Saccharomyces cerevisiae S288C: one gene and its partners. The gene in region 1 interacts genetically with each later gene. Each region holds a gene or a part of one and is shown in the gene's direction. Other genes may lie near its edges.

Evidence for each region.
Region 2: mutations in ERV25 (region 1) and GLO3 together harm fitness more than expected from each alone (negative genetic interaction), as found in Saccharomyces cerevisiae (3 studies listed by BioGRID, with this or other methods).
Region 3: mutations in ERV25 (region 1) and ERD1 together harm fitness more than expected from each alone (negative genetic interaction), as found in Saccharomyces cerevisiae (4 studies listed by BioGRID).
Region 4: mutations in ERV25 (region 1) and SLY1 together harm fitness more than expected from each alone (negative genetic interaction), as found in Saccharomyces cerevisiae (3 studies listed by BioGRID).

Annotation. Positions count from the first base shown.
Region 1 is NC_001145.3:244,490-250,880, forward strand, and holds ERV25 (Erv25p), read left to right. Parts: upstream 1-1,626; coding exon 1,627-2,262; downstream 2,263-6,391. Other genes in the region: UBX2 (Ubx2p), read left to right, coding at 1-1,414; RAD33 (Rad33p), read right to left, coding at 2,406-2,939; transcription elongation factor SPT5, read left to right, coding at 3,188-6,379.
Region 2 is NC_001137.3:399,807-408,034, reverse strand, and holds GLO3 (ADP-ribosylation factor GTPase-activating protein), read left to right. Parts: upstream 1-3,682; coding exon 3,683-5,164; downstream 5,165-8,228. Other genes in the region: DSE1 (Dse1p), read left to right, coding at 1-693; casein kinase YCK3, read right to left, coding at 1,648-3,222; YER121W (uncharacterized protein), read right to left, coding at 5,316-5,660; phosphatidylinositol-binding protein SCS2, read right to left, coding at 6,166-6,900; AVT6 (aspartate/glutamate transporter), read left to right, coding at 7,193-8,228. UniProt on the Saccharomyces cerevisiae protein: GTPase-activating protein for the ADP ribosylation factor (ARF) family. Involved in retrograde vesicular transport from the Golgi to the endoplasmic reticulum.
Region 3 is NC_001136.10:1,293,156-1,300,990, reverse strand, and holds ERD1 (Erd1p), read left to right. Parts: upstream 1-4,304; coding exon 4,305-5,393; downstream 5,394-7,835. Other genes in the region: mRNA splicing protein SYF1, read right to left, coding at 1-2,559; YDR415C (putative aminopeptidase), read left to right, coding at 2,830-3,954; rRNA-processing protein RRP17, read right to left, coding at 5,591-6,298; DFM1 (Dfm1p), read left to right, coding at 6,597-7,622. UniProt on the Saccharomyces cerevisiae protein: Required for the retention of luminal endoplasmic reticulum proteins, affects glycoprotein processing in the Golgi apparatus.
Region 4 is NC_001136.10:833,701-842,603, forward strand, and holds SLY1 (syntaxin-binding protein), read left to right. Parts: upstream 1-4,691; coding exon 4,692-6,692; downstream 6,693-8,903. Other genes in the region: SND1 (Snd1p), read right to left, coding at 1-1,792; chaperonin-containing T-complex subunit CCT6, read left to right, coding at 2,721-4,361; RVB1 (RuvB family ATP-dependent DNA helicase pontin), read right to left, coding at 6,904-8,295; NAD-dependent histone deacetylase HST4, read left to right, coding at 8,637-8,903. UniProt on the Saccharomyces cerevisiae protein: Able to suppress the functional loss of YPT1. SLY1 is essential for cell viability. May interact indirectly, or directly with YPT1.

The DNA of each region.
Region 1 (6,391 bases):
AATTGGGCTAAATGGACGCTCTAACACTGTGTGGTCCATGTTTGAATCTTTTAGTTATGATGGTAACCCCTTTCTTTTTATTTTACTGTTGATCCCTCGGATAATCAATAGGTTATCTGCCACAATATTCACGTTCTTTTGCACTCTATTGTCCCTGCATTCGATAAGTGGTGGCGGTAATTCAGGAAAACCCAAGATCTCCAAGGTTCCAAAGGCACCAACCAGAGAAACCCATATCCCACTTGCAGAAATACTGGGTGACACGAAGGACAAGGATGCATTTTGCGAACTAAAAAGCTTTAAACCAGACATTTCCTTCAATGAGGCCTTGCGTATTGCAAAAGAAGAGTTTAAGTTTATGTTGCTCATCCTAGTGGGCGACACCTACGATACCGATACTGATACCGTAGATGTTAATTCTAAACTACTATTGGAAAAGATTTTGTTAAACAAGAAGACTTTACAGTACTTGCGCAAGATTGATAACGACCTGATTATCTATTTGAAATGCGTACACGAGTTGGAACCTTGGCTGGTTGCTCGCCAACTAGGTGTCAGAAACACCCCGGAGATATTCCTCATTGCCAACGTGGCTAATAAGGCTTCCCATTCAGAAACTTTGCCCTCACAAAGACTCTCCATTCTCGGCAAGCTAAAGGTCAATTCACTGAACAGATTCTTGCAGTCGTTAACAAACGTGGTGGAAAAGTACACTCCAGAATTAGTTGTTAATAAAACTGAAATGCACGAGCTACGCATGTCAAGAGAAATAAAAAAACTGCAGGAGGATGCGTACAAAAAGTCGCTAGAAATGGACAGAATCAAAGCTATAGAAAAGGAAAAGAGCTTGAAACACGCTCAGGATTTGAAATTAAACTCAACTGCTCGGCAATTAAAATGGTTAAAGGCTTGCATCGATGAGATACAGCCGTTCGAGACAACGGGGAAGCAAGCTACTCTGCAATTTAGGACTTCTAGTGGCAAAAGATTCGTCAAGAAGTTCCCCTCCATGACTACACTTTACCAAATCTACCAATCCATTGGGTGTCACATATACCTCGCGGTATATTCTAGTGACCCCGCAGAATGGTCTAACGCCCTCCAGGACAAAATCAGGCAATTATCTGCAGACGACGATATGCTCTGCTTTAAAGAAGGACAACTCGAAACTGCTACTGCTACCACTATCGAAGAGCTCGGCCACATCATCAACAACGAGCTTACCTCATTTGATCTCGAACGTGGTAAACTTGAATTCGACTTTGAATTGGTATCGCCCTTCCCTAAGTATACTGTGCATCCTAACGAGCACATGTCGGTGGACCAAGTGCCCCAGCTATGGCCAAATGGCAGTCTTCTAGTGGAAGCACTGGATGAAGAAGATGAAGAAGATGAGGAAAATGAAGAACAATGATAAAATAGCATATCGTTAAAAACGACAAACGCGTACAAAGAGTTTCTGGAGTTTACTTTTTTTTCATTTTTCGTTTTTACTCTTTCGTCTCCCTAATGATTTTGGCCAACCGTTGGTTGTTACGTGTTATATGTTTGTTTTAGGAGCTGGGGCCTACCTTTATAGTTAGTTGTATAACTCAGTTGATCTCATAAGTGAAAAGCAAAAAAAGGATGCAGGTGTTACAGTTATGGTTGACAACTTTGATCTCTTTGGTGGTGGCAGTGCAGGGATTACATTTCGACATTGCAGCATCTACAGATCCAGAACAGGTTTGTATTCGTGATTTTGTCACTGAAGGTCAATTGGTTGTCGCGGATATTCACTCAGATGGTTCTGTTGGTGATGGACAGAAACTAAACCTCTTCGTGCGTGATTCAGTTGGAAACGAGTATCGTAGAAAGAGGGACTTTGCAGGCGACGTTCGTGTTGCGTTTACTGCTCCATCCTCCACGGCATTCGACGTTTGTTTTGAAAATCAGGCTCAGTATCGTGGCCGTTCTTTAAGCAGGGCCATTGAATTGGACATTGAGAGTGGTGCTGAAGCTCGTGACTGGAACAAGATCAGTGCCAACGAAAAATTGAAACCTATAGAAGTGGAGTTGCGTAGAGTGGAGGAAATTACCGACGAAATTGTCGACGAATTGACTTACTTGAAAAACAGAGAGGAGAGATTAAGAGACACCAATGAATCTACCAACAGAAGGGTAAGAAATTTCTCAATTTTGGTTATTATTGTCTTGTCCTCGCTGGGTGTTTGGCAAGTCAACTATTTGAAGAACTACTTCAAAACGAAACATATCATTTAAGCAAAGGAAGAGGACCACACCATGCATTTGTGTATCAGCTTACCCTATAATTGCATATGTACTCGACTATTTTCTACATATATATGAATAGATTCCAGAACCGAATAAAGGAGAAAAAATATTTGAATATGGATTTGTTCGCTTCACATCTTTAAGTAACCTAGTTTTCCCAATACGCAACCAAAGTCCAAGTATGTCATGAAAAGCCTCTTGCCATCAGTAGCACAACTAATCATTTCAATGGTCCCAGAACTTTGGTCAGCCCCGATGAGATTGGAGATTTTTTGAAGGTCTTTTACGCTTAATACATGATCTCTTAAGGCCACTTGCGGGAAATCCACGTCTCTGCCACAGTTTCTAATAAGCATCGACCATAAATCATCTATTACTGTTAAATTATTCATCAGTATCAGTAACTGGCATGTGCATCGTACCAGTTTCGTGAAATCTATTACGTCAGTTCCTTCTATAATGACGTCTTCATTTCTCACCAGTTTCCAAATTGTGGGCTCTAGTTGCAAATCCTTGAAGAACCTTGGTAGTTCATTAACGGTCATATCATGGTCCAGACTGGATTCCGCATATTTTTCCAGAATTTCATCTTCAACTTCGATAGGTACTTTCGGGTTCTCGAATAGCTCTACTCTTTCATAACTAACGTTAGTGGATTTGCTCATTGAAAAAAAACTCGGAAGGTATTTAGGTGACCTTGCGGCTTCTTAATGCTGACACCTGCATGCGTAATTGTTATTATATATATATATGATAGTATATTTCATACTTGTTCCTTCTAAAGGTGACCCGCCTGATATGCGACATAGAAAAAAATTTGGATGAACATGTTCAAAGATTGGTAGCATTGACAAGAACCATTCATACAAGTAGGTAACAGCAGAAGGAAAGAGGAACGGGTGTTGTGATAATTATGAGTGACAACTCGGACACAAACGTGAGCATGCAGGACCATGATCAACAATTTGCTGATCCCGTAGTGGTTCCGCAGTCAACTGACACTAAAGATGAAAATACTAGTGACAAAGATACTGTTGATAGTGGCAATGTGACCACAACGGAAAGTACAGAACGTGCAGAAAGTACAAGCAATATTCCCCCTTTAGATGGGGAAGAAAAAGAAGCAAAATCTGAGCCACAGCAACCTGAGGATAATGCAGAAACGGCGGCCACAGAGCAGGTTTCATCTAGTAACGGGCCTGCTACAGATGATGCCCAAGCAACTTTGAATACGGATTCATCCGAAGCAAATGAAATTGTCAAGAAGGAAGAGGGCTCTGATGAAAGGAAGAGACCTCGCGAAGAGGACACCAAAAACAGTGATGGTGATACCAAAGATGAGGGCGATAACAAAGATGAAGACGATGATGAAGACGACGATGACGATGATGATGATGAGGACGATGACGATGAAGCCCCAACTAAAAGGCGTCGTCAGGAGAGGAACAGATTCTTGGATATTGAAGCTGAGGTTAGTGATGATGAAGATGAAGATGAAGATGAAGAGGATTCAGAGTTGGTTCGTGAAGGTTTCATTACCCATGGTGATGATGAAGATGACGAAGCAAGTGCTCCAGGCGCAAGAAGAGACGATAGATTACATAGACAACTGGACCAAGATTTGAACAAGACTTCAGAAGAAGACGCTCAAAGGTTAGCGAAAGAATTAAGGGAGCGTTACGGTAGAAGCAGCTCCAAGCAATACCGTGCTGCTGCTCAAGATGGTTACGTGCCCCAGAGGTTTCTCCTACCAAGTGTTGATACAGCTACCATTTGGGGTGTGCGCTGCAGACCAGGTAAAGAAAAGGAATTGATTCGTAAGTTATTAAAAAAAAAATTCAATTTGGATAGGGCGATGGGTAAGAAAAAACTGAAAATTTTATCCATTTTCCAAAGGGATAATTACACAGGAAGAATCTATATCGAAGCCCCTAAGCAATCCGTTATTGAAAAATTTTGTAATGGTGTTCCAGATATTTATATTTCTCAAAAATTGCTAATTCCTGTCCAAGAATTACCTCTATTACTAAAACCAAACAAATCTGATGATGTTGCTTTGGAAGAAGGTAGCTACGTTCGTATTAAGAGAGGGATCTATAAGGGTGACTTAGCTATGGTCGACCAAATTAGTGAGAATAATTTAGAAGTTATGCTGAAAATTGTTCCTCGTCTGGATTATGGTAAATTCGACGAAATTGATCCAACAACACAGCAACGTAAATCCAGAAGACCAACTTTTGCTCATAGAGCACCACCGCAATTATTTAATCCAACAATGGCTCTAAGATTAGACCAAGCTAACCTGTACAAAAGGGATGATCGCCACTTTACTTATAAGAATGAAGATTATATCGATGGTTATCTGTATAAGTCCTTCAGAATTCAACATGTGGAAACCAAAAATATTCAGCCAACTGTGGAGGAATTGGCAAGATTCGGTTCCAAAGAGGGCGCGGTAGATCTAACATCAGTTTCACAATCAATCAAGAAGGCTCAAGCTGCAAAGGTCACTTTCCAGCCAGGTGATCGTATCGAAGTTCTAAATGGTGAACAACGTGGTTCCAAGGGTATTGTAACAAGAACCACGAAAGATATTGCTACTATCAAACTAAATGGCTTTACAACGCCTCTAGAATTTCCTATCTCTACTCTGAGGAAAATTTTCGAACCTGGTGATCACGTTACTGTCATCAATGGTGAACATCAAGGTGATGCTGGTTTAGTTCTTATGGTAGAGCAAGGTCAAGTGACATTTATGTCAACTCAAACAAGCAGAGAAGTTACCATTACAGCAAATAATCTGTCCAAATCCATCGACACTACAGCTACATCAAGTGAATATGCGCTACATGACATAGTCGAATTGAGTGCTAAAAATGTTGCTTGTATTATTCAAGCTGGCCACGATATCTTCAAGGTTATTGATGAAACTGGTAAAGTGTCGACAATTACGAAGGGGTCTATCTTGAGTAAAATAAATACTGCTCGTGCACGCGTTTCTAGTGTCGATGCAAATGGTAATGAAATCAAAATTGGTGATACCATAGTAGAGAAAGTAGGTTCACGCAGAGAAGGTCAGGTCCTGTACATACAAACACAACAAATTTTTGTTGTTTCAAAGAAGATTGTTGAAAATGCAGGGGTTTTTGTTGTTAACCCTAGTAACGTTGAGGCCGTGGCATCCAAGGACAATATGTTAAGTAACAAAATGGATCTAAGTAAAATGAATCCAGAAATCATTTCTAAAATGGGACCTCCATCATCTAAGACATTCCAACAACCCATCCAGTCCAGAGGAGGTCGTGAAGTTGCACTCGGCAAAACAGTAAGAATTCGTTCTGCTGGTTACAAGGGTCAATTAGGTATTGTGAAAGATGTGAATGGTGATAAAGCTACTGTCGAATTACACTCGAAGAACAAACACATTACAATTGACAAGCATAAGTTAACATATTACAACCGTGAGGGAGGTGAAGGTATCACGTATGATGAATTGGTTAATAGACGTGGTAGAGTTCCACAGGCCAGAATGGGCCCAAGTTACGTCAGTGCCCCAAGAAACATGGCCACTGGCGGTATTGCAGCAGGTGCTGCGGCTACCTCTTCTGGTCTTAGCGGTGGTATGACACCAGGATGGAGCTCCTTCGATGGTGGCAAAACACCAGCTGTAAATGCGCATGGAGGCTCAGGTGGTGGCGGTGTCTCCTCATGGGGTGGTGCTTCCACTTGGGGTGGCCAAGGTAATGGAGGTGCATCCGCTTGGGGCGGTGCTGGCGGCGGTGCCTCAGCTTGGGGCGGCCAAGGTACTGGTGCTACTTCTACTTGGGGTGGTGCTTCAGCCTGGGGTAACAAATCAAGTTGGGGCGGTGCATCCACTTGGGCGTCGGGTGGTGAATCTAATGGTGCCATGTCTACTTGGGGTGGTACCGGTGATAGGTCAGCCTACGGCGGGGCTTCCACCTGGGGAGGAAATAACAATAATAAAAGTACAAGAGATGGCGGAGCTTCTGCATGGGGTAACCAAGACGATGGAAATAGGTCTGCTTGGAACAACCAAGGAAATAAGTCAAACTATGGTGGTAACAGTACATGGGGAGGTCATTAATCACCAAAAGGA
Region 2 (8,228 bases), on another chromosome or scaffold:
CAATCCTGCGACGGTAAACCAGTTTGTGAATTATATGCTAAGAAAGGATACATTGAAAGTCTAAAATTTAACGAAAACACAGGCGCGTTATATAGCAGTGATGACCAAGGCTTTGTCATTTGTTGGGATTTACAAAACCTACAAAACATGAAATATGGTGAGTTAGTCCATGGATTTAACTCAATTAGCCTAGATAGTGAAAGTGAACTACTATTAACCAAGCAAGTCTTCCAATGTGGAAACATTATTGTGAGTGGTATGAGTGATAAAAATATTTGCTTGAAGAGCAATGACACTAAGGCCAATGGAAAAGGATGTGGATTTTTATTCCTTGATATGGCAAACGATGGAAGTTTAGTAACTCTTGACAATTTTTGTGAACTGGGATTACATCAAATTTGTCAAGTTCAATTCAATGTCGATACCGGTAAAATAATCGATGGTAATGGTACTGGGAAGAGTGGAATATCTGATTCTTCTATGTTATCATTATCCAATGAGAGTGACCATAGTATGACAGAAACATCTGATGATATGTTCTCAAATTCTGGTAATTGGGATTGTTCTTCAGCAAATACTGTTAGCGAAGGTAGATTGAATGATGACCAAGAGGATATCGTCTTCACAAAGAGGATGTATTCTGTAAATGATGTGCATTTAAGTGGATCTACTATTGATACTACTGTTGTCTAGTTTCCTTGAGTGCTTTCAAATAAAAACAAATAACATATCAATGAATCAAAGTAACATTTCTTTGAAGATAATTTCTTTGTCTGTCACTCAGAATGCCCTTTATTACTAACGACCATCCTCCTTGATGAAGGTGAAAATCAATAAAATTCAAATTGTGACCCAAGTCCAGTCAGTGGATCCTTCTGGTAACACAAGTATTCGGTTTTTTTTTTTTCTCCATGATCTGTATGTTTTACTAAGCTTTGAATTTTTCTTACACAATGTATATATATATATATGTGTGTGTATATCAAAACAGCGCGCGTAATTGTATGTAGCATTTAGAATCAAGTTCAATGCCGAAATTTGTTATGGTTGCCTACGTTTTTTTGGCTTCTTAATTTAATATCAAAATCTTCACGATATGCATTCATTCTCAAGTTTGTAATTGTGCATTTTTTTATATATAGTCCCGCTCTCAAGTGAATTAGAAAAGTAAAGTATACACGCAAAACAAGGGCGTAAATAAAAGAAAACGAAAAAGCAACTAAATAAAAGCTTACATCCAAGTATCAAAGAAGTCGCTCACGGTTTCTCCAATTCTTGAACCTTGATTAATCATAAATTACATATTATTTTGGATATTCTTAAAAAAATGCTATAATAGTGCTTGAAGATAGATTTAGCACACCAAAAACATACCGGGATTAATATATATGTGCGTGTAGTCTTTTGATAAAGGAATATACAGAAGGAAAACGATTACGATGCTGACTATGTCTCATTTTCTTCTTTTTCCTGTTTCTTTACCCTCTCCGGAATTCAATTATTGTAGATGATAAAATAAAGGGTAACAGAGAGAAAGAGAAACAAAATAATACATTATTGGAAAGTCATAAATTGGGAAAGAGCGGCATAAGGAAACAGCCAATCAAAAAAAAAAAGGAAAAAGAGAAAAGTATAAAAATCGCTTTATCAACAGCAACAAAAACAGCAACAACAATATTTGTATATTTTAGAACAAAATGTATCATTCTCGTCATCAGAATAAGCATCATTTTCTTGTTCGTAATTTCGTTGACTTTGATAATTGATATTCTTATTTGCAAGGTTTGTGTAGTGGTTTGGTAAGTTGTGCTCATTATTACTTCTTTTAGGGTTAGCTTTAGAACTTGAATATGGTACAAATGGTGAATTTTGTGTATGACTGATGGAGTCGTACGTTTGACTTTGACTTTTAATTGGCCGTTGAAGATTTGAATGTGTTTCAGGAATATATTTACTATTGGGTTCGATTTTTTTCAAGACGTGTTGTTGTTTAGTAAAGCTCTGCGGGTTCGAAGAAATTCTGGATTTCGAATTGTCCTTGTTATAACTGTTTTGAGCTTGTTGCTTAGGTGTCGCAACTGGCGTTGTATTTCGTGTCTTTGAATTCGTATTCACATTGTTTCTTGCAGTATTGCCATTGACTCTTGGATTTGGATTTCCGTAACCATGCAAGTTAGCTCTTCTATTAATCTTGATATTCCAGCCTTTACCACCATTCAAATCCATCCAGTCATAGTGTCCATCATCCTTTAAGTCGTTTAATCTCAAAGCGTCATCCATTAACGAGATTAAATAGTCATAATCCGGATCTTCGTCGAACTTCAAGGAACGTGCATATTTTAAATATGTGGCAAACTGATAAGGAATAGCATTATTCAATAAAAGATCATCAGGATTCAATTTCTGTTTAGTCATACCAATCTTTTCATACTTCAGTTTGTTGTTTGGTGCTTTCAAACCTTGCCATGGCAAGGATCCCCTCAAGAAATAAAAAAAAACGTGACCTAGCGATTCTAAATCATCCCTACGTGACTGTTCTCTTCCAAAATGAGTATTAATAGACATATATCTGGCGGTACCGCTCAATGATTTTCGTTCACGGTATGGTATATGTTGTTTCGTTCTTGGATCTCTATATTGTTTTGCCATACCAAAGTCAACCATGTATATTAAATTGGGATCATTATTAGAAGAGGAGGCACATGATTTAATGACTTTTCCTTCAGGTGAAATTCTTTGATATTGAGAAATTAAAAAGTTATCGGGTTTAATATCGCGATAGATTAAGTCGTGATCATGAATTGCTCTAACTCTATCAATCATTTGCTTGGCAACCATACAGGTTGTTTTCACTGAAAATTTTCTACCACACCACTCAAAGAGATCTTCCAATGATGGCCCTAGTAAATCGATAATCAAGATGTTGTGCATACCTTCTTGACCAAAATAATAAGCATGGGGAATTCCAACGCAGCCATTCAATATCCTATAGGCTCTAAATTCGTCACGCAACTGGGGTGCGTCCGAATGTCGCGGTTCGAATTTAATTGCGACTGGCTCGTTCGCCATTATTATACTAGAGTCCCTCTTGCTACCGGTCTGCGCTTGACAAGAATGAAGAATGTTCTCTCCCTCAAATATTACTCCGAAAGACCCTTCGCCAATCTTAGGTCCTACAGCATAATGAATACCTACAATGTGTTGTGAAGATCGTTGGGACATCTTTCCTTATCGTCCTTTTACACTTTTTCTTCAGAATGAGATACCACTTTTGATTAGTGGACCGTAGCACGTATACCCTTAAATAGCAGACAATTCTTGCAAAACGGATTTCCTTCTTTTTTAAAAAACAGCAAATAATACCAGTACCTAGATGTTACGAATGCTGTTCCCCTGTTACTCTCTAAGCTGCCCTTTTCAATTCACCTATAGAATGTTTAAAATTTTACTTTCAATATTGGTATTATCTATGACACAAAAGGAAAAGTAACATCGTTTGGTCATTTTCGACGACACGGTAAAGTTTCGAAAAAAAAAAAAAAAAAAGAAAACAACTATTCTTCGTAAACACGATTTAGCTGGCATTTTATAAAAGGAGATCAAGGCGATAGCAAAGAAAGGGTATTTGTTAAGTACTTGTTGATCCGGTCTTCTTGAGCAATTTAGTATACACATAGCGACAATGAGTAACGATGAAGGAGAAACATTTGCCACGGAACAGACTACTCAACAAGTTTTTCAGAAGCTAGGTAGCAACATGGAAAATCGAGTTTGTTTTGATTGTGGTAACAAGAATCCTACTTGGACTTCGGTACCTTTTGGTGTGATGCTGTGTATTCAATGCTCTGCTGTGCATAGAAACATGGGTGTTCATATCACCTTTGTAAAGTCTTCTACATTAGATAAATGGACAATTAACAATTTAAGAAGGTTTAAGTTGGGTGGGAACCATAAGGCTCGTGATTTTTTCTTAAAGAACAATGGGAAACAGCTACTAAATACAGCAAATGTTGACGCGAAAACAAAATATACGAGCCCTGTTGCTAAGAAATATAAGATACATCTCGACAAGAAGGTTCAAAAGGATATGGAGTTATACCCATCAGAATTAGTCTTGAACGGTCAAGATTCTTCGGACTCACCGTTGGACACCGATTCAGACGCTTCCAGGTCGACTTCCAAAGAAAATAGTGTTGACGATTTTTTCTCTAATTGGCAAAAACCAAGCTCCAATTCCAGTTCTAAACTCAATGTAAATACAGGCTCTCTCGCCCCAAAAAACAACACCACAGGCAGCACACCCAAGACCACTGTCACTAAAACGAGAAGTTCCATCTTAACGGCTAGCAGAAAGAAACCGGTATTAAACTCGCAAGATAAAAAGAAACATTCAATTTTGTCTTCGTCAAGAAAGCCCACTAGACTAACCGCAAAGAAAGTCGACAAATCACAGGCAGAAGACTTGTTTGATCAATTTAAAAAAGAGGCTCAACAAGAAAAGGAGGACGAGTTCACTAATTCGTCTTCTAGCACCAAAATTAGACAAAATGATTACGATTCCCAATTTATGAATAACAGTAAAGGCAACAATAATAACAGTATAGATGATATTAATACCCAGCCTGATGAATTCAATGATTTTTTAAATGACACTTCAAACAGCTTCGACACAACTAGAAAAGAACAGCAAGATACTTTAACACCCAAGTTTGCCAAATTGGGATTTGGTATGACCATGAATGACGCCAATGATTTGGCAAAGCAACAAAAAGAATCTCAGAAAATAGCTCAGGGACCAAGATATACGGGCAGAATCGCGGAAAGGTACGGCACACAAAAAGCTATATCATCTGATCAATTATTTGGTCGTGGCTCATTTGATGAAGCAGCAAACAGGGAAGCGCATGACAAGTTGAAAACATTTGACAATGCTACATCAATTTCCTCTTCTTCATACTTTGGAGAAGATAAAGAAGTGGATGAATTTGGTAATCCCATCAATAGTAGTGGAAGTGGAGCAGGGAATTTTGATGGCCGTAATTCTAATAACGGTTTCATCGATTTTAATGCCTCCGCAGATGATGAATTGCAGATGTTGAGAGACGTTGTAGAACAGGGTGCTGAAAAACTCGGTAGTTATTTAAGGGACTACTTAAGAAAATAAGTTTAATTTTCTCTTTAATTGAATTTTTTTTTTTTCATTGTTATCATTGTTTTTTATTCTCATTTTTCATTATATGATAATTATATTTATGGTACATAGAAACGGTTGTATATGCATTGTACGTGCGTTTATTCTTATTCTTCATCCCCCCTTATCTTAGTTTAAGGTTTCTAAAATCGAAAGTTTCATGTGCGTATGAAGCGGTTGAAAATGCAGACGAGGTAGCATTTGGTTCATTAGCATTATAAACACTTTGCTTTAAAGAAGGTAAGTTATTTTCGACATCTCTGTTTCTAATTGCTTCATCGTCCACATAGGGAGAGTCTATACCCACTTTCCAAAACGAGTTCATTACTTGATTACCATATTCGTTAGAAACACTTGCATTTAAACTATCACTTGCCGCAAGGGCGTAGTAGTGCGCATCCTGTTGCATTTCTTCGCTCTTTTCCTCTGCTGGCCTTGAATTCTTGTCGTGCCAGCGCGATAAGCCCATGTTACTATATTGTCAATATGTGAGTCCCTCGTTCACTATGAGACCTAGCAAAAAACAAACTGAAAGTAGGTGGCTGTTTATGTATTCATTTATTTATGGACCTTTTAGGCGCGACCCCCTCGCAAGATCTTCGTTAATGTGCATCCAAGACCCTCCCCTCATTTAGTAGACCCCGCATTGTTATGGTTAATAACGGATAGTTATTTGCCCAAGATAGCGCCTACTACACTAGGGAAACCGAACATGAATAAATTAAACAAGTAATATGTTACAACAGTGGTATAGTTATCGATTATTCTCCTATTTAAAAAATAAAACATATAAAAAAGTTAGGAAAGTATGATCTTTTAGTTCCTTGTTCTAGTATTGTAAAGGCTACAGAAGGAAACAATAAAAAAAGATTGTAGAAAAACAAAGTAAAATAAAGACTGAAAGGAAGGAAAGGGCAAAACACACACATATATAAATATATATTTAGAATACAGCTATATCCTCAATCTCCCTATTATCTGTAGAACCATCCTAAAACCAAGATAAGGAGTGCAACCAATATGAATATACCCATGCTGGATGATTCATTTTCTGCAGGTACGGTTGCGGCTTCCTTTATCTGGTTCTGTGGGGCCGGAGTGCTGTTGGACGTTTGCTTCTCATTTTCATGAGGAACGGTTTTCTGAACGACAGGTGGGACCTCTTCTTTCTTTACTTGGACGGGAGGTTGAGTTTCCGGTTCAGCAGGGACCTCCTTTTCGTTTACCACAGCAGGCACTTCCTTTGGCTCACTGTCTTGGACTACTGGTTCAACAGTTTCCTTGTTTTCCTGTATATTTTGGTTCTGTGCTGGGTGTACATCTGGACTTATCAAATATTTGACTTTTATCTTTTTAGAGATAGCCTGTTGCTTGAACTCAGCCTCCAAGTCGGACCAAACATCTGCAACAGCCTTGCCATTGAGGTCGTAAGGAGAAGGCAACGTGATAACCAGGAACTTGTCACGGCACTTAAAGTCTGCGGCAGGCTCTTCAGTCAAACCCAGGAAGATAACTTGAACCTGGATTGTTTCACCTGGAGCAACAACTGCGGCGTTTGGTCTCACGCAGTAAAACTTTGGGGCTGTGGTCTTGACCTTAAATGCAATGGTTTGGTCTGAATTGTTGGAAATACTAGCGTATTCTGTCGATTGCTCCGTTAATGGAGACTTATACACCAACACGTCAGGGGAAATTTCAACAGCAGACATACTTAGGTTCGCGGAGATTGTAGAATACCCTTCTGCTACACTATTAACACAGAATGTGCGTCAAACCACACCACACAATAAACAATGCACTTTGCTACTAAAACCATTCTATTCACCTTGCGAAAACAACAAGCGAAAAAAAAAAAGCGAGGGCGAAAGAGTAAGATCACCACGCACGTTTAGGGGATCGGAGAGCTTATCTATACAGCAACTAGAAGTATATAGAACAACAATGGTCGAACGACGGGTTAGTTTCACAGCTCAATAACCATAGAAAGGAATCGTGCATCATATGGTAGCTAGTATTAGATCAGGTGTGCTGACACTTTTACACACGGCGTGCGGTGCTGGTATCCTGGCCATGCCGTACGCATTCAAGCCGTTTGGATTAATTCCTGGAGTGATAATGATAGTGCTGTGTGGGGCGTGCGCTATGCAAAGCTTGTTCATACAAGCTCGTGTAGCTAAATACGTACCACAGGGGAGGGCCTCGTTCAGTGCTCTGACGCGGTTGATTAACCCAAATCTAGGTATTGTGTTTGACCTAGCGATCGCTATCAAGTGTTTTGGTGTGGGCGTCTCTTATATGATTGTAGTTGGGGATCTGATGCCCCAAATAATGTCTGTGTGGACCAGAAATGCTTGGCTGTTGAACAGGAACGTGCAAATTTCACTGATCATGCTTTTTTTCGTGGCCCCGCTGTCTTTTCTGAAGAAGTTGAATTCGTTGAGGTACGCTTCCATGGTGGCCATCTCTTCTGTAGCGTACTTGTGTGTTTTGGTGTTGTTGCACTATGTAGCACCATCAGATGAGATTCTTCGCTTGAAAGGCCGGATCTCCTACCTCCTGCCACCACAATCGCATGATTTGAACGTGCTAAACACTCTTCCAATTTTTGTCTTTGCCTACACATGTCACCACAATATGTTTTCAATAATCAATGAGCAGAGGTCAAGCCGGTTCGAGCATGTGATGAAGATTCCACTGATAGCAATATCTTTGGCTCTCATCTTATATATTGCGATCGGCTGTGCTGGATACCTGACATTCGGCGACAACATCATTGGAAACATTATCATGCTGTACCCGCAAGCGGTCTCGAGCACCATCGGCAGAATAGCGATTGTGTTGTTGGTGATGCTGGCGTTCCCACTACAGTGTCATCCTGCAAGAGCTTCAATCCATCAGATTTTGCAACACTTCGCCGAGGAAAATGTAAGTATAAGTGCTACATCGGCGGATGAACCCACTGTTGCTACCGAAAGTTCTCCGTTGATTCGCGACAGTAGCCTTGACCTCAATGAGGTAATTGAAGAAGAATCTATTT
Region 3 (7,835 bases), on another chromosome or scaffold:
ATCTGGATTAATCGAATATGAAGAGGTTGATTGGGTAAGAGTATGCGAGTTGGGAGCATGCGAGGTTGCTGCCGCCACGAAGTTAATGTTACCTTCCTCATGGCTAACGCTAGCTGAATCAATGAGCATGTTGGATTCCAACACCTTCTTCATCTTCAACATGTCTTTGTAAGTTTCCTTATCCCCATGTTTTAACTCAAAAATTTCAAAGCTATCCCATAATTCAGTATTTCTGGATGGAGGAAGAAGCTTTGCACCATAGGCAAGGATTTCACGTGCTCGAATAGTTTCTCCTATAGAGCTCTCGAAATCTGAAAATTTAATCACAAACTCAACAGCTTTAGAGTTTGGTAAAATTTGAATGCATTCTTGGTACAACTCTCTGGTTACTGATGGTCCCAAAGTAGACTCGGCCTTGGAAATACACATTCTCCACAGTTGCAGTCTACTTTCGAGGTGCGTGCTCACACTAACAGTACCTATTACAGCACCTCTACGTAATATCTCAATACTCTTGCTAATCAGACCACTTATCCTTTCTTCAAATACGCTATAAGCGATAAAAATTGTTTTACAGTCTATACCATTTGAACATAGATTCTTAAGTGCTTTCTCAAACAAAAATCTAATATGTTCAGGACTCAGTGATGACAATTGATGTGATGTCGCTACTTCTAGATACTCAATCCATAATTCGTATTGGATTTCGGGGGGAAACAGAGGGATTGTTTTCTCATACACCTGAAAACTTTCCATGACTTCGTAATGATTTTGTAAGAACAATGCAAAATTTTCTGCCATTGCTGGAGTGATCAATCTCAAATCAATAACAGTATTGTATGCCATTTTTGTCTTATTGAATATTTTATCGGAGGAATTTGCATCCTTTGGGCAGTAAGCCTCTAGATAATCAATGTATTTGGACCAAATACGTAATGAGTTGAATAGAACAGTTTGAGCAGGTATTTTTCTGTGTCCATTCTTATATTTTTCGAGGAGAATTTCTGGATTTGTTGGCACATGTAATGCATCTTCAAGGATAGAAAAAGCTCTTTCCACCCCTTCTTTATCTAATTCTCTATCAGCCCAGTTTAGGTAAATTTCTTCCAGATCTTCTATATAAGGATACGGTACCTTCAGAGATTGTGTCCACAATTCTCTAGCTGTACTAATTGCGTTTGATCTCCAATACAAATCCCCATACGAACACCAAAGCCTACCGAAAGAGCCAGGCGTACCAACTTTTCGGGGATCAATTTTCAGTATAGCTTCTGAATACACATTACACTTTTCCGCTGCTGACTTCTGCAAGGACACTCTTTTCATCCACGTTTCCACCAAGTTGGAATCTTGCCTTAGTGCGACATCGTTCAAATAGATATCATATAAGTTGATTAAAGATTCAAATGTCGCCATATGAGCTTGTAACTTTTCAGTCCAATCTTTTTGATTAAAGAATTTGCTGTCATTTTCCTTTAGCTTTCCCAGAATAAATTGGGAGCACTCTTGCTCAAATAGCAAATAGAAATTATAGATGCGATCAAAATCACTGTACCTAAGTGTTTGCTGTAAACTTTTCTTCAATAAATCACCACAACTGTCAAGCCTCCCGCGAGAGATATAATATTTGGCAAGTGATAGGATCAAAAAAAGCCATTTGTCGGGATATATGCCATTCATTTGCCTCATGAACTCCTCATATTGATTATCTAAACCTAGTTTTTCTAGGCTGGCCAAATAATTGAAATTTAATTCAAAAGGCAGTTCTGAACTAGGTAGATACTTCCCACTATTTTCATCTTGTGGCAAATACTTTTCATATACTGATTTGATGGTAATATTGTCTCTAGTTAATGCAAGAGTTGCCAGCGATTCATTTCGTTTTTGCTGAGGAGCCACTTTTAAGTATCTTTCTAAAATATGTGACGACCAAATATCACCTCTACTTCCGTTTTCACTAATTTCCTCGCTAATAAAACCTCCCTTCGTGAAACCCTTCACTAAAAGTACATTTATCAATTCAGCTTCATCAGTACTTTCTTCTTCATCTTCTTGAGTTGAATCCAGTTGCGTTAATGGTAAAACTTTTTCTTCCACAAATTTTATGACAGGATCCCAAACTTTCCGATGCATTTCTCTCTCCATTTTCATTAAAGATGAAGCTAAGGCATGCCTTATCATTGCCAAGTCATATTGTTCAATTGCCAATTCTAAATAAGACAAACATATCCTGTCACAATCTCGTACACAGCTTTTCAGGCACCTTTGAAAAAGCCAGAAAATACGTGAAGTTTCGACTACTTCCTTTGTTGATTCCCAGCGTATATAATCTTCCCATATACTTGTATCTGTTACAAATTGTGAACAAAATCTTTCATATAGCCACCTAATCTGTTTGTCAGTTCTTCCCTCCTCTTTCCAATACTCGATATATCTTTTCCATGTAAGTATGTTCTGCGGTGTCTTTTGTATTTCGTACTCAAAAGCCACATCTTCATCATTTCTTATGTTCTCATCGACGTTTGTTATTACTCCTTTCATTGCGATGTATGCTGACATAGGATATATGGACACAATAAGTTTTGCGGTACTGAAGGATAGTTGAGTCCAATATGGAGGCCTGATTATTTCCTTTTTTTCTATCTATTTCCTTTTGTATTATTTTGACTGAAAAGCTTGCCAGCGTCTTTACTAAAATCTTTCATATGTTCGGACCGCTATAGTAAACTGAAACTTGATATTCAATAATTATCAATCTTCGAAGCTAAAGAAATACAAAATCTTTATTCGAAAAAGTAAGTAACATAATCAACCGCTGATTAGCACAATATGAGGATACAGTCGCTTTTTGTTTTATTTAATGTTGCCATCATCGCATGGTCATATCCATATGAGCCTTTAAGGGTTTTACAAGTAGGAGAGAATGAGGTAATGGAGGTTCCCGAATCAGAAAAGCTAAACTTACGAAGAAGAGGTGTCAAATTCTTTGATGTGACCAAACACACTTCTTTCTTACCTTTCTTTAACAAGGAGGAAGAGCCAACAGTACCAACGTATAACTATCCTCCTGAGATATCGAACAAAGAAGTAGTGGATGATTCGATTAAGAATATAGACAAGGGCTCTATGCACAAGAACTTGGCAAAGTTTACAAGTTTTTACACCCGTTACTACAAGTCCGATCACGGCTTTGAATCTGCCGAGTGGTTAGCTGCAACTATCGCTAATATTACAAAAGATATTCCGCAAGATACGTTGACTATTGAACATTTTGATCACAAAGAATGGAAGCAATATTCAATTATAGTCCGTGTCACGGGATCTACTACGCCAGAAGATATTATAATAATTGGTTCTCATCAAGATTCTATCAATCTGCTACTGCCATCCATAATGGCAGCTCCAGGTGCGGACGACAATGGGTCAGGCACGGTGACTAATATGGAGGCTCTCAGATTATATACGGAAAATTTTTTGAAGAGAGGATTTAGACCTAACAACACTGTGGAATTTCACTTTTATTCCGCCGAAGAGGGGGGATTGTTGGGTTCTCTTGATGTTTTTACAGCTTATGCCAAACAGAAAAAGCATGTGAGAGCGATGCTTCAGCAAGACATGACGGGATATGTTTCTGATCCAGAAGATGAACATGTGGGGATTGTCACCGACTACACTACTCCCGCATTAACTGATTTTATAAAACTAATTATCAACTCTTATCTATCCATTCCTTACAGGGATACACAATGTGGCTATGCTTGTAGCGATCATGGGAGTGCCACCAGAAACGGATTTCCAGGCTCCTTCGTGATTGAAAGTGAGTTCAAAAAGACTAACAAGTATATTCACAGCACCATGGATACTTTGGACAGATTAAGTCTCGCTCATATGGCGGAACACACAAAAATTGTATTAGGGGTAATCATTGAACTCGGGTCATGGTCCGCTTGGTAAAAGTCAGTAATATGCATACATAACTAATGATGCCTTACCTTGGTGTTCTTTTGTAATATACCTAAACCGATATCACGCTAGTATTTATTTCCCGAATTTTTTTGGCGTATTTCGTCATCTGAAAATAACATAATCAATGAAAGAAATAGAGTCAGTTGCAAAAAGTGCAAGCCAGCGCTAACCGCTCCCGATTTAGTCGCAATATTGATGGCAAACAGTACCAAAAACTGGTTACCCATATAAATTGTTTGGCATTGTTATTATTGTTATAAATTATTATTGTTATTATTATAAATTATTATTAGTATTATACAAAGTTTTCAATTCTGCAACAAGTTGGGCCGCAAAATATGGAGAAAAGCGAAAGTAATTCTGAAGGACTTTATCTCCAAAATATATTAAATGTTCCCCCTCCGCAGCGATTTATTGTGCTCATAATACTTGCCCTTTGGATCTGGACATGGATATTAAAATTCTTCTTGCATAGTAATTTAGACGTATCCCAAGTCATACTCACGAGAGTACCGCACGATATACGTCCAGGTTATACTCTACAGCAATTGCATAGAACAGCTAGAAATTTTGCTTTGAAGATAACAAGGATTATTATACCGTTCCACTTTGCCACTGTGTTCCTTTTTGAGTTCATGAATATTATAGAAGGTCCACTCAAAAATATCATTCTCATCGTATATTTTCTACCATTGATCCAATGTGTCACTATATTTTGGTTTCTGTTGAAAGAGTGCCAGATAATAAAATATTGTACTAGGAGATGTTTGTTGATAGAATCCTCCCCCCGTTCCTTAAGGAATACCTACATTTTAATCTCTGACACGTTGACATCGTTTGCAAAACCATTGATAGACTTCACATTGTTTACCTCTCTAATTTTTAGAGAACCCTTCACACATTTTGATCTATCCGTAGCCCTTCTTCCTGTACTGGTAAGACTACTGCAGTGTTTGAGAGAATACCGTTTACTGCACGAAGCAACTTTACTATTCAATGCATTGAAATACAGTTGTAATCTTCCCATTCTTTTTTGCACCTGGAGATCAAGAGTGTATGAGGGATCCATCAACGAAGAAAGACTACACCACGTTCAAAGATGGTTTATGCTAATTAATTCTTCCTATACGTTATTTTGGGATGTAAGGATGGATTGGTCATTGGACTCGTTAACCTCTTTAAGATCCAGATCCAAAAGTGCCGTCACATTAAAGAAAAAAATGTATCATTCGGCGATTCTCGTTGACTTTTTGCTGAGGTTCTGGTGGCTATGGGTATATTTATCGCAGAATCTGAAATTAGTTGCCGCAGATAGCGACTACATTTTTTTCCAAGGCGAAATGCAGTATTTCGAAGTAATTAGAAGAGGCATATGGGTCGTTTTCAAATTGGACGCAGAGTATTATATTAAGTTTGCAAGCAAATAATTTGTTGGGCAAGCCATATAAAATCATGCAAATGCTGTAAATATTTGTTCTATTTTCCCCGTAGAATGGTTTATTCGATATATTACATATAATAAACGAAAAATACATATGCACAGTATATACTTTTCCAAAAAAAAATCAAACACTGTTTGAGCGTCAAGAAACCCCAGGCGGTGCCCGACGATAATGCGACTGCATTATCTCCTACGCTTGTTGTCGTTTGCCTTTCTTTGGTTTATTCTTCGTTCATTTTTGGTCAAATATCTGAACTTTTTTACTCTTGGCTTCTTCTTTTGTTTCTCATCCACGCCCAGAAACTTCGCGTATTTGGTGGCTCTATTTATGCTTTGTTTGAGTACTTTTTCTGCCTTTTCTAATTTGACATTATTTAGCTGGGCTAAATATTCAAAGTTATCATTGGGTTCCAATGTCTCCAATTCAACAGTAGTTGAGTCATCGTATATTTCCGTGATTGCTCCTTTCTTCAAAATAGGCTTTACGCTACTTTCATTATTGTCGTTATCGCCGTCATCTTTATCAGAATCAAACCCGTGCCAGGATTCATCAGATTCTACCTGCAAATCCTCCGTCTTATCATTTTTCGCATCCTCTATCTCAGCTTCCAAGTTTAAACTCTCTTTAAACGTCTTTAACTGTTCTTCCATCACCTCCTTACGTTCCTGCCGAATCTTCTGTCTTTCTTCAATTTTTCTAAGCCTTTCCTGCTCCTTAATAAACTCTTGTGCTTTCTTTTGTCTTTGAAGCTTTCTCTTGTGAAAGCCAGTCAGATAATCCAAACGAGAATCCTTGTCGAACGTCACCTCATCGGTACCGAATTTCTTTGATTGCTTTGTAGCATAGTTTTTGCCTCTTGTAAGGATTTGCCTATTGGTGTGAACAGCCATAGCAAAAATCGAAAACCTTTAATTCACCCCTCTTGATTCGAGCAGCTACCAGGAACTTGAATATTGCAACTCTCTATTTTTTATCTGCTATTATCTGCTGCTTTGCAGAATCGATCCTCATCACATTTGAAAAATTTCAAATGTGAAAAGTCCCTACTTACCCGTTCGCGGCTCATGAAATCGTGTCCTCTTCAATATAAGACAAGAGTATCAAACAAAGGATATAAGGCAAAATACAACAAATTACCAGTGAATTCCGCATTTCCAAGTCAAATCAAAAACTATTTTCGAGGAAATAATGGCAGGCCCAAGGAATGTGCGTACATTACATGGAAATGGAGGCCGTAATAATGATGTGATGGGCCCAAAAGAATTCTGGTTAAATATCCCCCCAATAACAAGAACTTTATTTACTCTAGCGATCGTTATGACGATCGTCGGCCGGTTGAATCTAATCAATCCGTGGTACTTTATTTATGTTTGGAATTTGACGTTCAAGAAGGTTCAGATATGGAGACTTCTTACTTCTTGTGTAATGCTTTCGTCTCGTGCCATGCCTGCGCTAATGGAACTATATAGTATTTATGACAGGTCCTCACAGTTGGAGCGAGGGCATTTTGGTCCCGGTTTGTCCAATAGACGAGGACCGATGGTAACAGTAGACTATGCCTACTACCTGTGCTTTTGTATACTAGCCATCACTACGGCCACTACAATCATTTATGGGTCCTACTACCCTGTTGTGCTCACCTCTGGGTTCATATCATGCATTACATATACTTGGTCGATCGACAATGCCAACGTGCAGATCATGTTTTATGGTTTGATTCCTGTTTGGGGGAAGTACTTCCCCTTAATTCAATTGTTTATCTCTTTCGTTTTTAATGAGGGTGATTTCGTAATCTCATTGATCGGTTTTACTACAGGGTACCTTTATACATGCTTAGATACCCATACACTGGGGCCAATATGGGGGATGATATCCAGAAAAGCTGATCCAACCTACGGAATCTCGCCCAATGGGAAATTCTCAACGCCATGGTGGTTTACTAGTCTATATGCTCGCATAACGGGTGCCCACAATGAAACTGCAACATTCAACAACAACTTTGCCAATGTGCCATCTTCGCAAAGAGAAACGAGAACTTTTAGTGGAAGAGGTCAACGATTGGGTACGGCCCCTGCAACATTGTCTCAAACCAGTGGCACAGATTCAGGCAGAGCTTCTGGAAGTCAATTAAGAAGTGGCCCATCGAATTTGAACCAATTTCAAGGCCGCGGCCAACGAGTAGGACAAACAAACAGCCCCTCCGACTCACAATAACAACTTTTATCTATTTCTATGTACTTTGCCATTCATTATATACATCAAGAGAGTCTGACATAGTATTTTCGTTGGCATAGCAACCGATTGATAATGAAACATCACTCAAGACGAATTGACAAATGGGCCACTATGGTAAAACAATTCTTTACATGATACCACCAGTATATAGAAAGGTTCTCGTGTTGATGAATTATATAAGAAAGTGAAAAT
Region 4 (8,903 bases), on another chromosome or scaffold:
TGTTGTTGATAGTGTCTGTCCCGTCAAAATCACCATCGTGCACGTAGACGTTAGTAAAATGGTTTGAAGAGGTCGATCTTTTAGGTGATGAAGCCCCTGCAGAATCGGGTTGTTGGCTGTTTGGAAATTTCTGGTTGAACGGCTTTTGCAGAGCAGGGTCCATTAAACTCAAGGACCTAAACCTACCCCTTGTTTCCTTCGAATTTTTTGCCATAGAATCTATTCCGGAGGATAACACGTCTGTGCTCGAACCAGAGCGGGACAAAATGCTTGGAGCGTAAAAGCTCAAACCTTCATCGTCACTCTCATCGTCATCGTCATCATCGTCATCATCGTCTTCATCATCATCATAGTTGTCTTCATTTCCACCTTCTTCATCATCGTAATTAAAGCCATATTCATCTGCGTATGAGGTTCTATCCTGCTCTTGTTCCCCTCGTTCTTTTGTATAATCGTCATAATTATTATTGTTGTACAGGACAATTTCCTCATTCTTAGCACGGTCTTGCACTTCGTTGATTTGGTTGTTTAACTCGTCATATACTAGTTCGTCGTTTGATGGTGTCTTTCCGTAGGGGAAGGGAGAAGGCGATCTGGACATATTAGAACTAGAATAGGATTGTGAACGGGAATGTGGATGCAGATGCGATTGTAAATGCAGTGCAGTTCCCGAAGGCTGCTTGCGTAGGTTGGATTCCTGACCAATAAGATTGTTGATTGACGTTGATGGGATAGTTGTGATGGATTCGTTCGTTTTGAACATATGTGCCCTGTTGGATTTTCTGTTGATAGACAACGACCTAATTCTGACGGACTTGTCTTTATTGGAGGTTAAAACCGAGTTTTGAAAATTCAACAACGACGAAGAGTTTCTTTTCAAACTTGTGTTGCTCTGGTCGTCGCCCTTATCTTCGTTAACAGCATCTGAATATTCATGTAGCGCTTTTATTGATTCCTGGGAGATAAGGCTGGTGAGAGGGTGGTCTGACAACAAAGTCAGCAGTGCTTTTACCCCCGTGCTATTCGTGACAATAACTATGGAATCCAAGACAGTCTGGTCTTGCATGCTACCATTGCTCTGGTTTGAGCCGGTGAATTTCTCGTTCAACTTGGTGTAGTACTCTTTGAACGGGAGTGACTTGGAGTTCTGGATTGTCTTAGTGAAAGAACCAATATTCTGCCAATTAATGATTTTTAAATTAAGCAGTTCTGCGTTCAGGAAAGTAGAAAACCACTTGAGAGAGGTGGGAGAAACGTTGATCTGGAAACATAGGTTTAGTTTCTTTTGAACATACAAGTCTTTGAAAGAATTAAACAATTTTTCAACCAAAAATCTTATGGTCTCCACGTAACGTAAAGACCCCGAAGACGACACCAGTACATTCAGATCAAACTTGTTTTCCGGTGTGCTGCGAGAGCTGATCAGACTTTTCAACTCCTCCCAAAACTTATCGTTATCTTCCGCAGTAGATGTGTTGGAAAAACTTTGCGCGATCGAATTTCTAAGCCGATGCAGCTTAAACCGTTTATTCAGTCTGGAAAGCTTGTTATGAGTCATCTCATCGTTGTAGTAGTCGATCGTAGGGATATCTATGTAAAGTAGGATGTTAAGCTTCTTTAGCGAAGGGTACCGGTCCGCCAAAGACGCTTGTACCACTGTCTGCTGCATGTTGGAGTAAGTGATCAGAAACAGCGAGTCCTGTGACTTCACACTAACTTTTGGTGAAGTGGACTGGGCAAAGCGACGCTCATTAATGCTCGCGGCTGCTGCGTCCGTACCGACAGTGTCCATCGTAGTGTAGGCTTCCCAAAATTTAGGATGTGATTAGTAATAGTGGTTGATTGCGAGCTCCGGGATGCGAGGGAGAGCGTGTATGTGTACTTCAAGTTCGCCAACTTCTCTCTTAAATAGAAAAAGAAAAGAAGAAAAAGGAAACGAAAAAAAAAAAAAGTAGGGAAAAGCTGAGTGATGAAGATCCGGGCTGCCAAGATTGGGTTTGAAACGTGTAGTCAGCTACAAACCAAAAATTAAAAGAACAATAGCAAAGAACCTTAGTAGGAAAACAATAAAATAATAGACACGACACCCGTAGAAAGATAGAACGGGACGAGGGGCCGGTTCAACAACTATCATACTTTCTTGTTCAACAACGCGATTAACCCAAATAATAAAAAAGCTACGAGACAAGAACAGACGAGGCAATACGAGCAACGAGCGCAACGAGAACGGTAAGCATGGCAACGGCGCGCACACCCACGCCCCGCAACCGCACACCTCAGCTCAAAGTAACCCACTTTAACGTGACTGGACCTGAGCTGTCTGACTCGGTCGTTTGCAAATAGGTTAACGCCGTCGCTTCTCCCTTTCGTGTACCGTATATCTTTCTTTAATTGCATTCCCTTGTTGTGATTATCGTTTCCCATTGCAGTGAGCTTTCATTTTGGGGACCCTGGGAGTAGGCTGTTTTTCGATAGAGTGAGAGGTGTGGGTTCTGCGGCAGAATGGATACGGGCCGTGGATCACTGTTTACGGGAGTTTTGCTTTGGTGGCAAAATTTTCGCTCGGTGATGTGTTAGTAGTTGTTATTCTGGTAAGAAACGAACGAAAGACGGAAAGGATTATGTATAACAGTGTATGTGTGCAGTGTGTGGAAAAGGTAAAGGTTAAGGGTGTGGAAGCAGTGAGAAGCAGAAGATTATAATATAAGTAGAGTAGAAGCATGTCATTGCAATTGTTGAATCCGAAGGCTGAATCGTTGAGAAGGGATGCGGCTTTGAAGGTTAACGTCACATCTGCTGAGGGCTTACAATCCGTCCTAGAGACCAACTTGGGCCCTAAGGGCACGCTAAAGATGCTTGTGGATGGTGCTGGTAACATCAAGCTGACCAAGGACGGTAAAGTGTTGCTGACCGAGATGCAGATCCAGTCGCCTACAGCGGTACTGATTGCTAGGGCAGCTGCCGCGCAGGATGAAATCACGGGCGATGGGACCACGACGGTTGTGTGTCTTGTGGGTGAATTGCTTAGACAAGCGCACCGTTTCATTCAAGAGGGCGTGCATCCGCGGATCATCACTGATGGGTTTGAGATTGCGCGGAAGGAGTCCATGAAATTTTTGGACGAATTCAAGATCAGTAAGACGAACCTTTCCAATGATAGAGAGTTCCTTCTGCAAGTGGCCCGGTCGTCGCTGCTAACCAAGGTGGACGCTGACTTGACGGAGGTCTTGACGCCCATTGTAACGGATGCGGTGCTAAGCGTGTACGACGCGCAGGCTGACAATTTGGATTTACACATGGTTGAGATCATGCAGATGCAGCACTTGTCTCCTAAAGATACCACTTTTATTAAGGGTTTGGTATTGGACCACGGTGGTAGGCATCCTGACATGCCCACCCGTGTGAAGAACGCGTATGTTTTGATTTTGAACGTATCTTTGGAATACGAGAAGACTGAAGTTAACTCTGGGTTCTTTTACAGTTCTGCGGACCAAAGGGACAAGTTGGCCGCTAGTGAGAGGAAGTTTGTGGATGCCAAGTTGAAGAAGATCATCGACTTGAAAAACGAAGTTTGTGGCATGGATCCAGACAAGGGTTTTGTTATCATTAACCAAAAAGGCATTGACCCCATGTCTTTAGACGTGTTTGCCAAACACAACATCTTGGCTTTGAGAAGGGCCAAGAGACGTAACATGGAAAGATTGCAATTGGTCACTGGCGGTGAAGCTCAGAACTCTGTGGAAGACTTGTCGCCTCAGATTCTTGGGTTTTCTGGCTTGGTCTACCAAGAAACCATAGGCGAGGAAAAATTCACATACGTTACAGAGAACACTGACCCCAAGTCTTGCACCATCTTAATCAAGGGCTCCACTCATTATGCCCTCGCTCAAACAAAGGATGCGGTGAGAGATGGTCTCAGAGCTGTGGCAAACGTTCTCAAGGACAAAAACATCATTCCAGGCGCTGGTGCGTTCTACATCGCCCTTTCGAGATACCTAAGATCTGCCAACATGAACAAGTTGGGTGCCAAGGGTAAAACAAAGACAGGTATTGAGGCGTTCGCAGAAGCATTGCTGGTAATTCCAAAGACTTTGGTGAAGAACTCAGGATTCGACCCATTGGACGTGCTCGCAATGGTGGAGGACGAGTTGGATGACGCTCAGGATTCTGACGAAACGAGATATGTTGGTGTGGACTTGAACATAGGTGATTCTTGCGACCCTACCATCGAGGGTATTTGGGATTCCTACCGCGTACTAAGAAATGCTATTACCGGTGCTACAGGTATTGCCAGCAACTTGTTATTATGCGATGAATTGTTAAGGGCAGGTAGATCCACTTTGAAAGAAACACCACAGTAATAAAAAATAATAATAATAATAATAATAACAAGAACACGAATACTAGTAGTAATAGTAGTCAGATACAAAAATTCTATGTAACATATTTTTTCCAGTCACTATCATCATCATCATATTTTGTATATATACATTTATTATATAAAATATCATACCAATTTTTGCCAAAGAACACCGTTTCCCTCTTCGCGTTGACCACAGTAATTGCAGAAACGACAAAAAAAAAACAAAAAAAAGAAGCACCATTCTAACTCAGCCTTTAATAACCTGACATGATAACTTATAATAGTCATTGCCAGTTGCTAAGTATCTTTGACCAAAAATCACAACATCATGGCTGTGGAGGAAATTGCGTCCCGCAAGGACATTAGTTTAAGAGATATGCAAATCTCTGCCATATTAAAAATGCTGTTTTTAAATAAGGATTTGAACAACAACGACAACATCACCACCATCACAGACGATATTTTTAACCAGCAGGAGATCATCTGGAAGGTGTTGATACTGGACATCAAGAGCACTGCTACCATATCTTCTGTTCTCAGAGTCAATGACCTGCTGAAAGCTGGTATCACCGTTCATTCCTTGATTAAACAAGACAGATCTCCCTTGCCAGATGTCCCTGCCATATATTTCGTCTCCCCCACAAAGGAAAACATTGACATTATAGTCAATGACTTGAAAAGCGACAAGTATTCTGAATTTTACATCAACTTTACCTCATCTCTGCCCAGAAACCTCCTGGAAGATTTGGCTCAACAAGTCTCCATCACGGGTAAATCTGATAAAATCAAACAAGTTTACGACCAATACCTGGACTTCATTGTAACTGAACCGGAACTGTTCTCACTAGAAATTTCAAACGCATACTTGACATTGAATGACCCGAAAACCACAGAAGAGGAAATCACGGGCTTATGCGCCAACATCGCGGACGGTTTATTCAACACTGTCTTAACGATCAATTCTATCCCCATTATAAGAGCAGCTAAGGGTGGGCCTGCTGAGATCATCGCTGAGAAACTGGGTACAAAATTACGTGATTTCGTCATCAATACCAATTCCTCCTCCACTTCCACTTTGCAGGGAAATGATTCTCTGGAAAGAGGAGTGTTGATTATTTTGGATAGAAACATAGATTTTGCCTCCATGTTTTCACATTCGTGGATTTATCAGTGCATGGTCTTTGATATTTTCAAATTATCAAGAAACACCGTTACTATTCCACTTGAAAGTAAGGAAAACGGAACTGACAATACCACCGCAAAACCATTAGCCACGAAAAAATATGATATAGAGCCAAACGATTTTTTTTGGATGGAAAACTCTCATTTGCCATTCCCAGAAGCTGCAGAGAACGTTGAAGCGGCATTGAATACGTACAAGGAGGAAGCCGCAGAAATTACTAGGAAAACTGGTGTTACCAACATATCAGATTTGGACCCAAACTCGAATAATGATACGGTTCAAATTCAGGAAGTCGTAAAGAAACTGCCAGAGTTAACAGCTAAGAAAAATACTATTGATACACATATGAATATTTTTGCTGCATTGTTGTCACAATTGGAAAGTAAAAGTCTTGATACTTTCTTTGAAGTTGAACAAGACCCTGGAAGCACCAAAACAAGATCTAGGTTTTTGGATATACTAAAAGATGGTAAGACAAACAATCTTGAGGACAAACTGAGATCGTTTATTGTTCTTTACTTGACATCAACGACAGGCTTACCAAAGGATTTTGTCCAAAATGTGGAAAACTATTTCAAGGAAAACGATTACGATATCAATGCTTTAAAATATGTTTATAAGCTAAGAGAGTTCATGCAATTATCAAATATGTCGTTACAAAATAAATCTTTGGAAGATGGATCCGATTCCGCTTTCAAACCAAGCAACTTAACATTATCCGGTATCTATGGCTTAACTGAAGGCAAATTACAAGGAGGTGTAGGAAGTTTAATATCAGGTATTAAGAAGTTACTGCCTGAAAAGAAAACCATCCCGATAACAAATGTTGTTGATGCGATAATGGACCCTTTAAACAGCTCTCAAAAAAATTTGGAGACTACTGACAGTTACCTATACATCGACCCAAAAATTACAAGGGGTTCCCATACCAGAAAGCCAAAAAGACAATCTTATAATAAGTCACTAGTGTTTGTAGTTGGTGGCGGTAACTACCTAGAATATCAAAACCTCCAAGAATGGGCACATTCCCAGTTGCATAATCCCAAAAAAGTCATGTATGGTAGCACAGCCATTACCACACCAGCTGAATTCTTAAATGAGATTTCTCGCCTTGGCGCAAGTAATAGCAGCAACAACGATGCATAATTGGCATCTAGCCCCAATGACGATACACTAATATATATATATATATATATATCTATATATCTGCAAGAAATAAGCGTGTGTAGTAAGTAAAAGGAAAAATAGAAATTTTTGCTCAAAAATAACGGTCCCATTTTGATACAATGTTTTTGGTTTAGTGATTTGCGTAATATTTATTTTTATTTATGAAATGTGCTTTAGGCTTTCTTCACTGTTACAAATAATTTGCGGAAGTTTCTAAAATCTTTGTTGACCTTTTGGCATCCAAAAACAGCAATTTGGCTTCATTAACGTCATTAACAACAATTTCCTTACGATTGCTTGTTTGTGCTAGGATACCACATGGTGCCAATAATTGTAAAGCGTAACGTAACGAAGTTTCTGTACCCATCGTGGCTAAAAGGTCCAATGCGCTACTTTCTACTTGCAATCTTTCAACGGTAGCTCTTCTCTCTATAATGGTACGGATCTCGTCCTTGTCATATGGTAATGTACGAACAATTAACAATCTATCGATCAAATCAGGTGGCACACCATGTGGTGATATCACATCCTCAGTGCCACGGACTGTAGTCATGCCCCTATTAGAAGCCAATACAACAACGGGGGCGATATTAGATTCAAGCGCTTTGTTCAAATACGTGAATATTTCAATGTCTAGCATATTAACTTCATCAATGAACAAAACACCTGGAATAAGTTCTGCGACACCTTGATCAATATATTTAGCAACAACTTTATTCACCTCTTGTCTTAATTTCTCGGTTATTTCAGTCTTCTTAGGTTTGAGCAACTGGCCCATCATTGATATGACATCTTGACCACCTTGTGGTCTTGCGTTTGCAACATCCAAATCGTGCAAGGTAACATCTTGTACAATTTCCTTTTTCTTATGCACTTCGCCTTTTGGCAATGGTACGTATTCCTCAGTTTCCAAATCAAATTCAGTAGCGTATGCATCAGATCTGCCAACTCGCTTAACTGCACCGGTGTTGGCCTCTATATAAATGACATCACCAATACTAACCTTTTCTCTTTGAATACTTTCATATATCGTTGGGTCTAATCTTAGTGTCTTGGTACCCTTGGCAGACTTGAGCCCGACAATTACATGTGAGATAGTTTTACCATATCCGCCCAACGGATTCTCTGCGTCTTCAGGGGTTAGTTCTGTCACTTCACCCTCATAAACTTCCTTAGTTTCTTTGATTCTTAACCCAATTGCTCTTCTAAAATTTTCCATTAGGGTTTCTGTTTTTTTGACCTCCACGGAATATAATTCGCTACCAACAAGAGGACAGAATGGAACTTTTGGGCCTAACTCTTGTGAAATGGCGAGAGCCAATGCTGTCTTACCTGTAGAAGGACCACCAGCTAATAGGATAGCTCTACCTGACATTTTTTTAGCCTTGATTAAATCTACAATTACACCGCACGCTTCACGAGCTTCTATTTGTCCAACAAACCCTCCTTCAACCCTCTTGGCCACACCACTTTCATCCAGACCTAAACCTTTAATATGTGTATGTGCCGCAGTTCTCGTAACTGCACCAGAATTACTGCTGTTTACGCCAGGATTTTCTTTGACTTCACTGATAGCGACCATATTTACTCAATTATTTTAACGTTCAAAATATTCAGGCCCAGAACTTAACAGCCTTCAATACGTACTCTTAAATGAATCCATCTCTTCTTCATCACCACGATGTATCTTTTGTTTTGCCATATTCTTCCTTGAACAAAATTGAAAAATTTTAAAAAACCTCTCCATTACCCGCAGAGCACGTGAGCAAAAAATCAATTACGTTTCCTAAAAGGGGAAAACAGCAACTTTAGTGACATGTTAGAATATTTAGCAAGCAAGGTTGTGGAAAAGCTTAGGAATTACATACTTTAGAGCAACAACTGTATTTTAAAACTGTAAATAATACTAAGCAGAACCACAAAATGAAGCAAAAATTTGTACTACCGATCACCCCACCAAGTACGGCGGAAAAGAAGCCTCAAACAGAAAACCGTTGCAATGAGAATTTGAAGCCTAGAAGATTGCTACCGCAATTGAAAAAAAGTGTCCGTAACAGGAAACCTAGACTGTCATATAGGCCTGAGTTAAACTCTGTGTTTGATCTGGATGCGTACGTGGATTCGACACACTTGTCCAAATCCCAACGCCATCATATGGACCGCGACGCCGGTTTTATTAGCTATGCTCTG